Linked DNA regions of Oryzias latipes. Each later gene encodes a partner of the first gene's protein in a complex. Links are inferred from orthologs where the notes say so. Each region holds a gene or a part of one and is shown on either strand. Other genes may lie near its edges. The genes, in order: lrrc7 and camk2a.

Region 1 (8,338 bases):
CAGTTGGATTCATAACAGACCAGAAACATTATTGTTTTTCTAAAGATGGGTTTGTTGTCTGTCTTAACCCCTTCTCTCCTGCTTTTATTTCCAATTTTATAAAAAATATTCGTCTATGTTTTTGTTTTGTTTTTCCTGTTCAAGGGGATTCTATATTAAGTGGAGTTCTGGATCTAATGGTATGTCGAAAATTTGTGACATACGGAATGAAGGGGTTAAGAATCATAAAATCAAGACAAATATAATTAGTGGAAGCAGACCACAGACAGTTCTGCAAGTAGAAATTGTTTCTATTCTAGCTTCAATATGAATAATTGATCAAGTAATAAGAATTGAAATGTAGGTCAGAATAAGTAACACTTTATTTCACAATGAACTCACCCTTTCCCAGGAAATTTCTGAAAAAATGTAATCAACAAATCTCCACTAAATAGTAGTGTCTCAAACATTCCAATGAGTCAGCTAAACTTACCGCTATTAGACAATGTTTCTGAACACAGTAAAAATGTTGTTGATTAACATTAAATCACTTGGGATTTTCATAATCCAACTTTTATTCAATTTAATCTGGTAAAAGCTCCCTGGTATGTGGAACACTGTCTTATTCGAAGCAAGTCACAGGTTTGAGCTTAGATGCATCTAGAAATGTATCCTAACATCCCAAATTGGTTTGATGTGGTAATCACCACAAAACTGGAGAGCAGCCAAAACAGAATTAAAGCTCATAGATTAAAAAAAACCCTATTTTAAATGAAAAGCCAGTGAAATCCAACTGATCTTATTGTCACATCTACAACAGCTTTATAAAAAGCCAATAATTCTGTCAGAGCTATAAATGTATTTTTGATATTGATTTGAGGGATATTTAATAAGTAAATCTAATCCAAGAATAACAAATATTAGCATAAAGCAGCGTGTATGAAACCTTTGCCCTCAAATCTCACCTATAATTTAACTCTGACCACTGTTAAAGACACCCGTTAACTGAAGGGTGTGAAGATAAAAAAATAAAAAAAAGCGACATAATGTAACAAACCTCAACATGACAACACTTACTATATTTTTGCAGACAGCAAAAACTTTTCAGGAAAATGAAAATTGTGTGTTCAAGTTTTGTAACCAACACTCATTCATCAACTGATTTAAAGTTAATGTTTTTCTGTCCTCCAATATTTTTGTCTCAGATTTTAGTCTCAGTAACCCAAACAGACATCACATAGTTTTGCACCTGAGAAGCACAAATTGACAATGAGAGAAAATCAGGGAAAAACACAAAAAGAGATTGAAATATTTTTTTTTTGAGAATCAACAACCTAAAAGCTCAATTTTGAGCCAAATATCTATGCAATATCTAAGTCAACACTGCCAATGATGTAACCATAGAAACACTGTCACCAAGACTAAAAGAGGGAGTTAATATACCCCACACCCCCCCACACAAAAAAATCCATGCTTGCAGATTGAAAACAGGAAAAAAGATTTTGAGACTTGGTACAAGAAAAAAACGTGAGGGGATAAATGTATCCTTTAAAAGACAAGTTTAGAGCAGCTTATGCAGTTGGTGCAAACCCACAACCCAGTATGTACTGTGACAAGGAGGATAATGTTTCTGTCTCCTCATTCTACGGTCTTCCCCTTGGCTGTAAATGTATGCTTTACTCTGTCAAGTCGTAAAACTGTTTGCCGTTTACATTTCCTGTAATTTTAATGGATTTCATAACTACAACAAAGACAAAAGCCACTATAAGATGTAACCACGGTACATTTCCATAAAAAGCCCAAAAGCTGTCTGTAAAATGTCAATGCACTCCCTAACAGAAATGTTTTCAGGATAAGATTTTAAAAAAAATTACCTTGCTGACAATCTGATGTGAAAATATTCTATTCATTTCATAGCAGTTAATTTATAAATAATACATAAATAAAGTATAAATAAAGTATCAATTATTATTAAAAATGTGTTTTAGTTCAATAAAGTGTTTGAAATTGAAATAAAAAAGATAAAGATTTACAAATAAATGTAAATATTTAAACCACTAGTCACACTAGTTGTAGATCATCTGTGTTAGTTGTTGAAGTCCTGCAATTATGATTTAATGGCTACATGCACCATATGTATAGTTTATGCCTTTATCCATCAACAGTGTACAAAGATTATGATTAAAATGGAAAATTTCCCATTAAGATGCTGACTTGATATTTTGGTCATACTCTGACAACAGCAGGCTTGACAAAACACATATTTGTTTTAAAAATGATCATGAAGATTCAGAACCAAACTAGCCTCCTCACCAGACCTTTCAATATCACACTCTAGAATGTAACAACACTGCAAACTCATGTCAAAACAAAAGCACCATAACCTTCATCCCTTCTCCTAAAATATCAGCATAAATCCTCATCATAACACACACTGCAGCTGTGCTGGTATCTCTGTCTTCCTTCCCTCACTGGATATCTATCCCTTAGCCCATCACCATGACGATGGGAGCCAGTTCCATGGATACAGTCACTAGGCAACGAGCGGCATCACCATCAGCAGCAGCAGCAGGAACAGCAGTGTCCTGTCACAGCTTAAGTGGAAGAGCAGCAAAAAGCCCCAAAACAACACTCCAACTATGCCTGCATGCAGGCTTGCTGTCTGAAGGGGAAGTGCTAATGCATTTATCTTGTCCAGGATCCAAAGCCTTGTGCATTTCACTCCGCTCTGGAATGCAAAACATCACGCAAATCATCTTGAGTTGGAAGGAGGTGGAAAGGATTTATAAAATAAGGTTTGTAAAACAGTGTGTTTTAATAGTTTCAGATGGTACGTTTGCATCACCAGATTTTTAATAAAAGCTTCATAAAGGATGAAGCACAACTGATAATTAGACAAATATAACTCAGCAAACCTAAAACAAAAGCTTCTATTTTAAGGGCATCAATGTTTATAATTATTTTGTGTTTATTTAGAGTCAGAGACAACAGTTTATATCTGCAAAATAACTTTTTTGAAATAAAAACTAACTTAATGTTTTAACAATTTCTTAATGATTTTTTTTTTATTCTGTCAAAGATATTTGAGGAGATCTGTTCTTAGAAGAGAAATTAAATGATAATACATTCTGAAAACCCAAGTTTGTGTCAAACATTATTTCTTTAGTCCATTTTTCTGGTTTTGTTTGTTTGTTGACAGACAACAGAATGACTTCTATAGAACAAAACTTTTAATTTTTGGTAAAGACACTTGTTCCAAAATGAATCTCAGCCAAGTGCATATTGAGTTATTGTTGACTGTTAAGACCAATCAGCTTGTGGTGCAATACTGTATTACACAGAAAGCTCAATATGAGATGCTCCATCATCTTTGTATTAATATTTTTTTTCTTAAATCAATATTTTTCTTGAATTTAGCAAAGAAATTATTGATTTATGCATTCTTGGAAAAACTCTACTGGGAGGCTGAAGTTAACGCAAAAAAAGTTACTTTTGTGTAATGATTGAAAGATTACTTTTATTGATTCAATTAATATCATACTTTGTGGTTGCTGATATGATGCATAGTCGATATTGGTTAATTTTTAACGACACGATTCGATCTAATTCATTCAGCTTCAGGACATCCTAAGCCAAAAAATTCAACCGGTGCTACTCAGAGATAAATACGATTCATTGATGTTGATTAATCAATAGACCCCTTTATAAAAGGATTTTTTTTAACACATTAAAACATTTGTTTTATCCCTAATAAAAAAGTCAAGATGCTACATGAAAGGAAAGGAAGAAAAATTCTTTGTACCCTTAATGTAATAAAAAAAGGACATTTAAAAGATGGCACACTGAAGAGGAATTTCCTGTGTATTCATACAAACAACTATATATTTCTAATTCACAGAGACATGCAGATGCATGCGGAACAATCCATGTCCAAAGATGACAAATAGGACAACTCCTCCCTGAGTGTTTGCAAAATTATACAAAGTAAGGCTATTAAGTGGGAATCCAAATCCCTCCGGAAAAGCAAATTATTAATGGTCATCGTTAGAGCAACACAGAATGAAAGACTTTGAAATATTTTTGCATTGAAGATTGATATTTAACATTCTCTTTGATGCTCCTTTTTCATGCACGCCTCAGTGCAATCTAATATGTGGCATAAAGAAGAGCACCCAACACTATACAGCATCCACTTTAACTGGAGCGATTAAGATTCAGATAATATAAAATGTTTAAGTGCAGCAGTGAAGCATTGGGGCTGGATGGTTAAAACGCCTGTGTCATTACAAGCTTGTAACAGGTGTGACAGGCTGATACAGACAAATAATGGGACGGGTGGGGGAATAAGCCAAAAAACATGCGGCTGGTGGATTTAACAGGTGTGTGCATGTAGATAATGCATGAACGCAGGGCGCTGTGACAGCAGAGCAGCCTGGGGTTACATGTCAAGATGGGGAGGCACTGCATCATATATCATTGTCCCCCCTGCTGCAGATATAGTTGTTTCATGTGATCATAGCTTGAAAAGGTCCGAGGATGAAGGTTCGTAAAGCGATGAATGGCTTTCTTTTTTGGTGCAAGAATACAATAAAAAAAAAAAATTAAAGCACTGCAAATGTAGGGGCAACATTGATCCATCTTTTCCTCTAAATTGTTGCATTTAAAAATCACAATATGCTGCTTTAACCCTTAAGAGTGCAATTCAGAGAAAAGAAGACATTTTGTTCTTCATTAAGAGCTGATTGAATGAGGAAAACCGTTTGACAGAGCTGCCTTACGTTGTAAAGCCGAGTAGTTATCCATCTGTTAGGATGCTGGGAGGGGGGATCCGATTCCTTTAGAAAAAAAATGCAATCTCTCTGGTGGCCCCTGTGGATTCCGAAGCATCAAGCAGGATCAGGCTACCGGGACGAACCGAGCCGGTGTGAAACAGGTACCCGCATCTTTAGTCCCCCGGGGAGCAAGAGATGAGCGCATCTACGGGAGATTCATGTCTCCTGATTTAAATCCAAGTAGTCATACGCGAAGCCTCCACTCCAAACTCCTCGGTCCACGAACGGCGAAGCTGCGGGGAAACGAAGGGAACATTGTCCGTGAAAACCCCGCTGCACGTCCAGGAGGACCGTCTCCTCCCATCTGTCCCCCGCGGAGAAAAAGAAGAGAGGGAGGGATGAAGATGCAACCGGGACGCCAGAGCAGGTGCGTTTGCGCGTGCGCACCAATAACCGTGTTATGAGTTCATGGGAGAGAGGGATGAATATTTCATCTGTGCGGGTGTTGTTTAATGAAGACGGAGCCTGTCTTTTAGGGCCGCTGCCATGCTGCTTCTTTCATCTCTCTTGAGGTTTTTTTCTTCTTTCAAACCAAAATAGCCCAGTTTTGACAGCTCAATTTATGAGAAGATGTTTGCACGAGCTGCTCGAGTTATTAATAACCTGAAGTATGAAGCAAAATCTCCTCTAGGAACATTTTACACGCAGTATCATTAAACAGATGTAAAAAAAAATGTATGTTTTTGAAACCAGAGGAAAAGGAGGGGAAAAGCTATTTTAGCAAACAAAATAGAAATTTGTGCACACAATACCAATTTTAAGGAGCAATTTATGATGAGGCTGCTATATTTTTTACCTTTATGTTAAGGGTTCCGTAGATGTAATTCCAAAAAAGAGAGAAACAATATAGAACACATAACATTCACTGCCTTTCATAATCTAGTTAAACCAGGTGTTTCGAAATTTCTCGCTGATGTTTTCTGTCCGTTTCCTGTAACCCCTTTTCTGTCCCTTTTTCTAAATGTCTCGCCTTTTGCCAGACCACAGCTGAAAATATTGTTCTTCCATCTTGCCGGGATAAATAAAGGTTAAAAGCAGTATATACAAATATTAAAAATCATCTTATTGCAACAAAGAATAATTTAAAAATCCAAAAGTAAGTGTTATTGCATGATGACTGCATGTACATTTGCATTTTTATTTGTGATCTTATATGGTTAACCATTGTCTGTTTAAGATGGAGCACGAAGACTATATTGTTTATAGTTTTTGCATAACTGAATATGTACAAGCATTTTTTGTATGATATTTTCTTCTTATCTGACTGTTTTCATATACTTTCCATGTGATCCATGCACTGCTACCATGTTAAAGAAAGAAACAGTCCAGATTATGACTTCTGTGTTTAACAAATGAGTCCTATGAGGAACTATCATAAAGGTGAACTTTATATAGTGCAAAAATATCTCTGAAGTATTGAGTGACCGAGATTTCTGTTTAAATCAGTGGTGATAAAGGGTTAATGTGTTTTTATCAAAAGTTAAAAAAGACACACCAGCAGTGGGTGAATACAGATTTTTCTTGCAAGGATCAGATGTTATTCTAAAGACTCAAAAGCCCACAAAACACAGAAATGTGCAGCATTTGTTCTTGTCTTTTGTTGTTTTCCACAATATTTTGTCTAAGTGTTCCGGTTTTCTTGTAAAAACGTTTTTGAAAACACCATCAATACACTGTCAATTTAGTAATAGGTGATTATAAAATAGCCTTATCAGCTCAGTGCAAGCCTGTTTTGTTTGAGCATGTGATGTATGAGGCGTATCCTCACCTGATTCAAGATTCAAGAAGATTTATTTGTCATTGTCAGTGAAATAACGAAAATACGTTTGGAGCATCAACAACAGCCACTCAGTTCAATTCACCAAATAAATACCCAATAAATAAATAAATAACCAAAGTGCAGAATCAGTACAAAAGGGAATACAGCAAAGACTAAACATGAAAAGAAAAAAACATATAAATGAGAAAATAAGACATTCAGTGTACACGAGATCTTAAATTAGTTGCAGCTTGGTTTTGGGGTGCAGCAATGCAAAGTTCAGTTTCACAGTGTGCTCAGATGAGGAGATGGGAGGGGGGGCAGTTGCTCGGATACTGACCGAGATAAAGTCTAATTACCTGCATCTTTGAGCAAGATAAGATACATAGAGTCACAGGAGTTTAACTTTTTAAAGGTTAAAGTCACAGTAATTGTGGAGGTATGGGTTTGAACCCCCTCCCAATTCAAAAGCTTAATGCCTTTTCAGAGTTGTTGGTATTGGATTGATTGCCACGGTTTCCCGTCAGAGGGAGGAAAATGTAGGACATTGAGGTGGCTTACTTGAAGAAATTGTTTTGTTTTTTTATAAACACGATTCATTAATTTCTACTCCCACAGAGAAAAAAAATCCATTTAGCTCAAAAGTTCTCCACAGTTATAAGTGATCTCTAACTCATTATTGTTCTTTGTTAATAAACCCAAAATACCCCTTAAGGGAAAAGTCGTGTCTGTATTTAACCCAGACTTGCCAAGCAGTGAAAACAGAGAAAGAAGATCCGACATTTGGGTGGGAACCAGGAAAAAAAACCTTGATGTAGCACAGAGTCTGATATCCTCTGTAAATATTGAACGACAGATTGCCAGATGGCATCAAACAAGCTCAGCTGTTTTTCTAATATGTATAATCCCTTCCATCTCAATAGAATTGACAAGACGGTGAAGCCAAATTTTTATGTTGACAGTGTTTTTACCCTTCTGCATTTTTGGCAGGATTTTCTGCAGTTTGGACCCTTCAAAGATCTACTCAACGTCCTCGTGCCCAAAACTGTCCACTGAAGAAAAAAAGATCGTCTTCCAAGAAGACGCAACGCTCCAAGTGATACGGCTGCATCAGACCACCAAACACGTAAAGGATGTGGAAATGTTATAAGGCACAAATTAAAAATAAATGAAATGTAAAAAAGAAAAGAGGGAAATAATGTTTATTGTGGCTTAAAATGACCCCCCTAACAGGGTGGTTCTCCTTCACTTTGCTGTAACAGTGACACACTGTCCTCCCCGGTGCCAGTTGGCTTTACCTAGACGGAGCTTCAGTCATACCCAGATGGCAGTGCTGGGATTCTCCAAGACTGCCCGAATTTAAGGAGAAACTAGGAGTACAGGGGAAGCTGTCACTGTATCACACTGCAAGTCATTCTTCTCTCTGATAGCCTGCAGATTGATTGCCGCCTCATCACATTCAGGTTCAAATCAGCGTCAACAACATCTCACTTCTAGGGCTGAAATGTCCTTCAAACAAAAGTGAGCATAGTCTTTTTCGCTCAGGGATCATATTTGTTGCCTGGCAACAACAATTGACAAATTTAGAAGGCTTTGGGCAATTAATTGCCTTTGCAAAGACTTTTTACAGTCTATTATTAAACTCTGGACACAAGAACATTAAAAAATAGATTTGTTATAAACAAAATAATATCTATATAATGTGTTATAATAGCCATTGCATTTTTTTCATGAGAAAAAAAAACTGCTGACTTTATCAAAATAAAGA
Region 2 (7,793 bases), on another chromosome or scaffold:
ACCCAAAGGAGAGCCTAGCTGTTGAAGACCAACCACGCCCACCCGAATCCACGCCGCTTGGAGACGCGCCGCTAACGTTCATTTAAAACTCCTGAAAAGCAACACCCCCCATCCCGCTCACACACAGGCATGCTGACATGAAGGAGCTACCCTGCTAAGGAAGAAAATAATAGATAAGTTTGCCCGTCTCTGTTGATGGGGGACCGCAGAGCTCAGGATTCCAGAACTGCAGGTGTCTCCTCGATACAGAAGCATTGGACCCAACTGACAGCAAGAGTTTCACCAGAGTCGTCCTCTTGACACAAACAGACCTGCAGAGTATGTTGTCAGAAGAACCATGGATTCCTTCGTATCATGCCACAGATTGTTTGGGTTTCCCCCTACCCAAAACCTTTATGTAGATCATATTTGACTCCTAAAGCTCAGTGTTACACCCCTGTACTCAGTTGTGCTTGAATGATGGAGCTCTTGTGATGGATTTTAGTCCGCATTTCTTCTTGTGTGTTTGTTTAAGGTCCTGCTGACCTGCAGATATCTAACATGTGCTTTTGCACAAGCCGTTTTCTTGGTCAACTTTGGTCCCTCTGAAATTTTGTCCATTTCCATGATGATGCCAGTCACAGGTGACAAGGAGATATGTTGCAGGGATTTTCTTTGTGTCGCTGATTTGAAACAGGAAGGGAGTCTGTTGGTTCTGGAGCTGTCCAGACAGCCAGCAGTGGATTTGGGAGCCATTTTCTCATCCCCCTCAGTTATAAAGAAAAAAACATTTCAGTTCGTTAGCTGGCTTTGTTGTCATGACACCTTGGTGGGGTGGGAGGGGTCAGCTAAAGTATAAACTGTTCATGGAAGATCGCAAGCAAGAGAGAGGTGGAAGCTTCTGGAGCTTCTGATGGAAGAGACGAGTTCTGTCACGCAGGGATGTCTGGGTGATGTCACGGATCACCTATCCACCTTTAGACTGTATGATCTCAGGATCACTGTAGATGTTCCTGCATCACCCAGAGACATCAAACGGCTGTTCTAGAAGATGAATGTTTCGTATGAACCCTTTCAGAGGCTCCAATCAAAGCTCGGGACAGGTTTTGCAGCTTTGGATTCTCCCAAAAGCAATGTTCAGATCATTTAACCAACCAAAAGTTCTGTAAGTGAATATCTCTCCTCCAAACATCCAGACTCTCTTCCACTGATCATCAGTTCTTTGAGCTCTGTGAAGGTCTGTCTGATTGTGAACATGAACATCTACAGAATGAGCAGGTTCAGGTTCCTGAAAGCCTGGAGATCTGCAGCTCAAAGGTCAAACACGTTTTTTGTTTTTGGCTGTTCCTCTGAAGAACATCAAATCTTCAACCCTCAGCTGACCTTTGTGGAAGAAATGGATGCTTATGGTCCATCCAGGAGTGGGCAGCTCCACACCTCCCAGTTCTTTTACAAACAATTGTGGTATTGCAGCCTCTGATTGGCTGGAAACACGTGATCCAGGTAATCAGCAGCAAACGGGGCAGGGAAAAGGGATAAAAAGCAGGTCAGTGGCCCTCGAGGACTTGTGCTGCCCACCCCTGATCTAAAATATGTTGGGTTACCATGGCAACTGTTGTTAGAGCATAATGACATAGATAGACATGATTGGTTGGTGATGAGCTTCAGCTGCAGGAAACCTGGAATCACCTCGATCAGGATGTTATTGATGCAAATCTTGGAGGTGAGCTTAGGAGCACTGTTAATGATGAAGATGAGAGAACATGAAGGTAAACTCCTTGTAGTAGTGAACTCCTTAAAGTAGTGTGACCTCCACAACATGCTGGGGACAAAGAGGTTCGGACCACAGGAGGGCTGCAGTGTAGCACCAGTCCTGTACGAGGTACGAGGTTTCCAACATAAACATGACCTGTGCTGTGCAGCTAAACTACACCAAGGGAGCTGATTGGCTGTGTGTAGAGGGTTATTGTTGAGAGGAGAAAGCGGATTGGTTAATTGGATGTGATGTGGTTCATTGCAGGAAGAGTCTGATTTTCCAGCCCAGTAATCTCCTCCTCCAACTGCTCAAACAAAATCCTTAACTGTTGGTATCAGATGTCTGGCCTGTTGCCAAAGCAACGGCGGCCCATCAAAGACCCGCCCACTTTGGACTGGAGTTAGCTGGAAGGATAAAAGAGATATCAAACTAAAAACCATGAAAGATACTTATCCATTTTGAACACAGAAATGTAATGTGGGGAGCTGCAGTGCCCCCTGCTTTGTGGCGGGTCAGCACCGTTAGGATGGAAACAAGATACTCGTCGGACACAACTGGACTGTGATTTACTTGTTGAGTGTGGAGGCGGAGCCAGAGCGATGGAAGTGGACAATCTGCCACTTGCCATCCCGGCGATGCCACACCCTGGTCTCCTCTGACTGGGCGGTGCGAGGCGTGCCATTGTTGTCGATATACTGCGTCACCCTGATGTAGGCAATGCAGGCGGCCTCGTCGCCCACCAGATGGATGTGGGGGTTCAGAATGGTGGTGTGCACTGGCTTGCTGTTCTTTGACCACACTATGACAGAAACATACAGCTACTTAGGTGAACAATCAGAATCTTGCAACTCACAGCCAGGCAGAAAGTCTGAATCAGCTCACAGTTTTCAAAGTAAAAGCGGTGGAAGTCCAGGCCTTCAACAAGATTCCCCAACGCTTCCGGCTCAAACGCAGTCACTGCTGGGTCACACATTTTACTGTAGCAATGAGGACAAAAAAATCAAATAAAGATTGAACTGAATGGAAGAGAGAAAATACACCTTAAACAAGCTGTCAGAGATGTTTAGAGTAAGCATCAGAATGTACTCATCACATACGTATAGCTCTCAAAGTCTCCGTTGCTGATGGCCTCAATGAGCTGCTCAGTCACTTTGATGATGTCCTGCTTTTTCACTGAGACGTGCACAAACAAAGATGTGAAAGACATGCACGCACGCACACACACAAACATATGTTAAGATCACTGTGGATGCATCATCAGCTGCGTCATTTGATGCCCCTCAGGTCTTGGTGAACTCACCTCTAGTGTCTTCATCTTCAATTGTAGTGTTGGTGCTCTCAGAAGACTCCTGTAAAAACAATGAAAAACCTTTGATGAAACAGCACAACAATGGCAGCAAAGACACAACAATGACAACACTGAAACATTCAGCCAGCTGTGTGTCTTCTCTAAAGGTGCAGTATTCATCTTATGGGTTACTGATGGGTGGGTTTGAGTTCAAGCACTAAAATGTGTGGAAGCTTTAACAGGGACTCAAACTGCAGACATATTGTGTGTAGACTGTTGTTCAGTCCATTATCCACTGTCAACAATCCATAACTCAGTAATCTATGATCGACCATCCACAGGTCTGTCCATAATCCATCATGCATGATCTATAAATCTATATCATGCTCCAGTATCAGTTATCCATAATTCATGATCTGGTCCAAACTGCATGATCTGGAATCTATGATCAATTCCATCAATTTACAACCCATCATGTACGATCCAACAGTGCACGTGCCTTTGGCAAGATAGTGAACCCCACATTGGTCCTGGTAGTCATAGGTTGGTACCAGCGCTAGGCAACAGAGCCTAGAGTGTGTGAATGTGTGTGTGAATGGGTGAATAGGACTATGACTCTAAAGCATATAAAAACATCATTGTATGTATTTTATTGCAGTGTTGTTAGTGTTTATAATCCAATTAAACAATGAGGATTGATAAGCCTGATTTTAAATGTGTTAATCCGGAAGTATGAGTGAGTCCTAATGCTCTCATATGGAAAGGCAAAAATAGAAAAACACAACTGATGGTAAGTAATAGATCCTCTGTTGAGACTAAAAACAGCTGCTATCTTGCATCCGCTCTGATAAAGGGCGGGTGGCAGTTTAGCTCAGGCGGTAGAGCGGGTCGTCTAACAGCCGAAGGGTTGGCGGATCAATTCGAGCTGTCTGCAGCTCACCACTCCCCCCAGGGGATGGGTTAAAATGCGGAGAAAAATTTCCTCATTGTTGAATAAATGAAAGTAAAATAAATAAAATAAAAAAAGAAGGTAGAGTTATCGCTCTGTCTGTTGGCTCTGGAGGATATTTATCTAATTTTTCCTTTTTGGAAATGAGATCAAAGAAGACATTTTCCCAGAAGTCTTGATGTTTGTTTAGAATAATTTCAGTGAAGTTAAGTTGTATTGTTGTGTTACTGTGTGCACAGACATAGGTACAAACACTCTGACACACAATGTTGATCCAGCACTTACCTTCACTCCATCAGCCTTCTTGTTGCTTCCACTTTTTCCCCCTGAACGAGGGATAAGGATTAAAAGACAGAGAAGCACTAGAGTCAGAAAGAAAGGAACAAATGCAGAGAAGAAGAGCGACGGCATCACACTGACAGCTGCTGCCTTTGAGCATCCAGCAAACCTCAGAGAATAGAACCAGCAGCAGGTAGCGCACAAGCAACAGTTTCAGCTTTGGCTGCAGATGGACAAGGGGAGTTCCCAGAGCAGCATGTGGGTCTATGAGACTGACGGCCAAATTTAGGATTGACTCCGGGGCTGAGGAGCACATTCCTGAGCGGGCATGGCTGCGACACACGTCGTCCCCTCTGATGAGCTGTGTAGTGTTGAGTTCTGCAGCAATCTTCCTTTGATTATGGCCAAGTTTAAACCAATTCGGATCTAATCTTGATTCTCAGTCCAGTTCTGGACCTGTGCATTCAGACTCCTGCAGGTATTTCTAGATGGCATGAAGACAATGTACTCAGGTGTCTGGGTGTAGGACCAAAGGGGATGCCACTGAGCATGTGCAGGGGCCAGATAGGGTTTCTCAGTGGACACACAAACAGTCAGTGTGGGAGGGTTTCCCTGTTATTTTTGGATTGGGGATGCAGCAGCTGCATACCAAACACACACACACACACAAAGAGCCCTGACCTGTTAATCAAGTGTAAGCTGCCAGCTGATTGGTTGATTTATTTCCCTAAATTTATGCTACTGAAACAGTAAGTCAAAGGGCAGATGTCACATAGCTCAGGTCATGTCATCCTCAATTCCCTCAAGTCACTAACTCCCTTATTATTCTAGATCATGCCCCCCACCCCGCCCAACTCTCTCAGGTAATATGACCATTGATTTCCTCAGGTTATATAACCAGCCCCTGATCCCCTCAGGTCATTTGATCCACTGACTCTCTTAAGCTATGTCACCACACTCTCATGTCAATTGAGCACCAACTCTCTCAAATCACCTGACTCTCTTAGGTTACGTGACCAGCTTTACTTCAGATGCTAAAGTTCTTGGTTTGTTCTGTTGTTGTTGTTTTTTAGTTCAAAAAGTAGTCTTAAGCCTTGGTCACATGCTTCTGTGTGGGAGTTGAGCCGTACATGTGCTGTTGAAGTTCTTTGTGGTTTGTGGAGGCCCATGAGCTTCACGAGTGCCGTGATCTTAAAAATTTTGTATGGGGACACCTGCATGTCCCCTGCTGTGGTTTGCCCATTTTATCCATCTGTAAGGGCAGATTTATTTGTATTGAAATACGTTAATAATCTACATATGTTTTGAAGATATTCATGTTAATCTGATACAGTTCACAGACTGTAAAATGTATTAGTGAAATAATAAACCAATGAGATTGTTAGCACCATACAGTGTTACACGGTTTCTCAATTGGAGACACGCCAACAAAAAGTGCAGATCAGTATGTTCTGCCTCTCCTGGAAGAAGTTTGAGTTTGGCCACTAGGTGGAGCTCGCGCTATAGCATTAAACTTTATTCCAGAAGACTGAGCAAAAAGCAGTGCTTTAGATCACAAATGGTTATTTAAAAAAAAATGTTTTCTTAAAAGAGTTTGGAAAATTCAACAATGTGCGTCTAGGTCGAATGAGCGTTAGCATTAGCCTTCCTATGAGAAACTCCATTATCCATTAGCATTAAGCTACAACCTGTCACTCGCATCATGCCCTGTACAGGTTTGCCTATGTTCATATCCACTCATAAGGGCAGTTGTGATGAAGGCCTTAGGAACTGTCTGACTTTAACCCAACCTGGTCAGAAACCGGTGACTTGTGGTCTTTCAACTGGATCACATATGTTGACAGGCTGAGACCAACAACTTACCAGAGAAATTTCTGGTTGCCAGCATGGTGGTCAAGATGGCCCCCTTAGAGATGAAGGAAGAAGAGAAAGGGGGACAAAGGAAACAAAGAAAAAAGGAAGAAGGGGAGGAAGGAAAGAAGCAGTGAGAATGGAGAGAATTGAAAATGAGTTGCAAAGAAAACAAAAAAAAACTGGGAGATGAATCTTTATCATGTTCATATCATACTGTATCTTCAAACACCTGAGACACTAAAGTGCTGCCATGACGGAAAGTCGATTCATGCTTCTTGCACTGAACAGGTACTATCCTCAACCTGATCAGTGCAGGATTTCCAGCAGAAAAACAGGACGTCCATTCAGTCCAAATCCATACAACAAGGAAAAAGGTTTTATTATGGCCTGCATAAGTGACCAATCTAAATGGAAAATTTCTGTGTAATCCCTTGCATTCAGAAACAAATTAATTCAACCATTCATCAATTCAACCGTGCAAAATGACACCCATCTGGAACAACCCAGACATCCTCATAAACAAAAAGATTATCCACTTCCCAGCTTGGCAAGCAGGGGGCATAAAACAACTAGAGCACATAATTATTGATAGAAGATTCATAACTCCCCAGGAACTTCAAGACAAACATGGAATATATAACTTCTTGGAATATCAGCAACTTAAATCAATTATTACTAAAAAGTTTAAATACAGAGACAACGATTTAAAGCTACCAGATGTAGTTACCACTCTGATCAATTTCACAATGAATAAAACTCTCTCCAAAATATACAAACTTTTATGTAACTTAGATAATAATATTTCACTTCCGACAACAAAATGGGATGCGGATTTGAGCATCAGCACAGATGAAAGCTTTTGGTCAGAACTTTGTCTAAACACCTTTAAACTGACAAAAAGTCCAAATCTGCAGCTAATCCATTTCAAAACTCTTCACAGAATTTACTACACTGGACAGAGGATGTTCAAGATGGGTCTCAGTAACTCAGACATTTGTCAGCACTGTGACAGTAATCTACCCGACAATTACATGCATGCACTGTGGTTCTGCACGCCTGTCCAGGCTCTCTGGCAGCAGGTATGTGCCGATCTATCAGTCTGGCTTAAGGTTTCAATCACAGCTTCACCGTCACTTTGTGTGCTTGGTGACATGAGTGCCATCGATGTAGAAGGAGGATTAGGCTCTATCATTTTCATAACTCTTTGCATTGCTAAAAAAACTATTTTAATAAATTGGAAAAGCAAGAAAAATATAAATATAAGTCAACACAGAAATCTGCTGCTTGATCATATCAGCTTGGAAAAAATGTCAGCCCAAGGTTCAAGTAACTTTGAAAGAACTCAGTCTCTCTGGTCTCCCATAGCTAACTCCGTGACTTAGGGGGTGGGGGGGGCCTGGTCGTCGCCGCTCCTTGCCCTTCTGCCGTGGGCTGGGGTGGGGGTCGGGGCCTCCGGTGCCTGGCGGGGGGTGGTGGGGGCTCCGTTGGTCGGGGGGTCGGGTCCGGCGCCTGGGTTGGGCGGGCTGGGGCGCTGCGTGGTCCTCTGGGCTTGGGTGTGGGGGTGCGTGGTGGGGGGGTGGGGTGGTGGTCTGGCTTGGCTTGGGGGGGTGGTCCCTTTGCCTGTGCTGGGGGGGGTTGGCAGGGGGCGCTGCTCGGGGGGGGGCCCAGCGGCGCTGGATGGGCTTCCC

Evidence for each region.
Region 2: the proteins of lrrc7 (region 1) and camk2a are in contact, whole or in part, in a crystal structure (PDB 6X5G), measured with the Homo sapiens proteins. The link is inferred for Oryzias latipes from reciprocal best matches to the Homo sapiens genes LRRC7 and CAMK2A. Residues at the interface, in NP_001357714.1 of Homo sapiens: His843, Gly844, Arg845, Arg846, Pro847, Leu848, Ile849, Arg850, Gln851, Asp852, Arg853, Ile854, Val855; in NP_001350919.1 of Homo sapiens: Glu96, Phe98, Glu99, Ile101, Val102, Lys137, Glu139, Leu159, Phe173, Ala174, Gly175, Thr176, Pro177, Gly178, Tyr179, Leu180, Ile205, Gly209, Tyr210, Pro211, Pro212, Phe213, Trp214, Tyr222, Gln224, Pro233, Glu236.

The regions. Positions count from the first base shown.
Region 1 is NC_019862.2:17,794,346-17,802,683, reverse strand, and holds the start of lrrc7 (leucine-rich repeat-containing protein 7), read right to left. Parts: upstream 5,128-8,338; 5' UTR 4,783-5,127; coding exon 4,758-4,782; intron 1-4,757.
Region 2 is NC_019872.2:23,211,588-23,219,380, forward strand, and holds part of camk2a (calcium/calmodulin-dependent protein kinase type II subunit alpha), read right to left. Parts: intron 6,158-7,793; coding exon 6,115-6,157; intron 4,299-6,114; coding exon 4,258-4,298; intron 3,085-4,257; coding exon 3,036-3,084; intron 2,909-3,035; coding exon 2,833-2,908; intron 2,713-2,832; coding exon 2,618-2,712; intron 2,535-2,617; coding exon 2,306-2,534; intron 2,140-2,305; coding exon 2,136-2,139; 3' UTR 1-2,135. UniProt on the Homo sapiens protein: Calcium/calmodulin-dependent protein kinase that functions autonomously after Ca(2+)/calmodulin-binding and autophosphorylation, and is involved in various processes, such as synaptic plasticity, neurotransmitter release and long-term potentiation.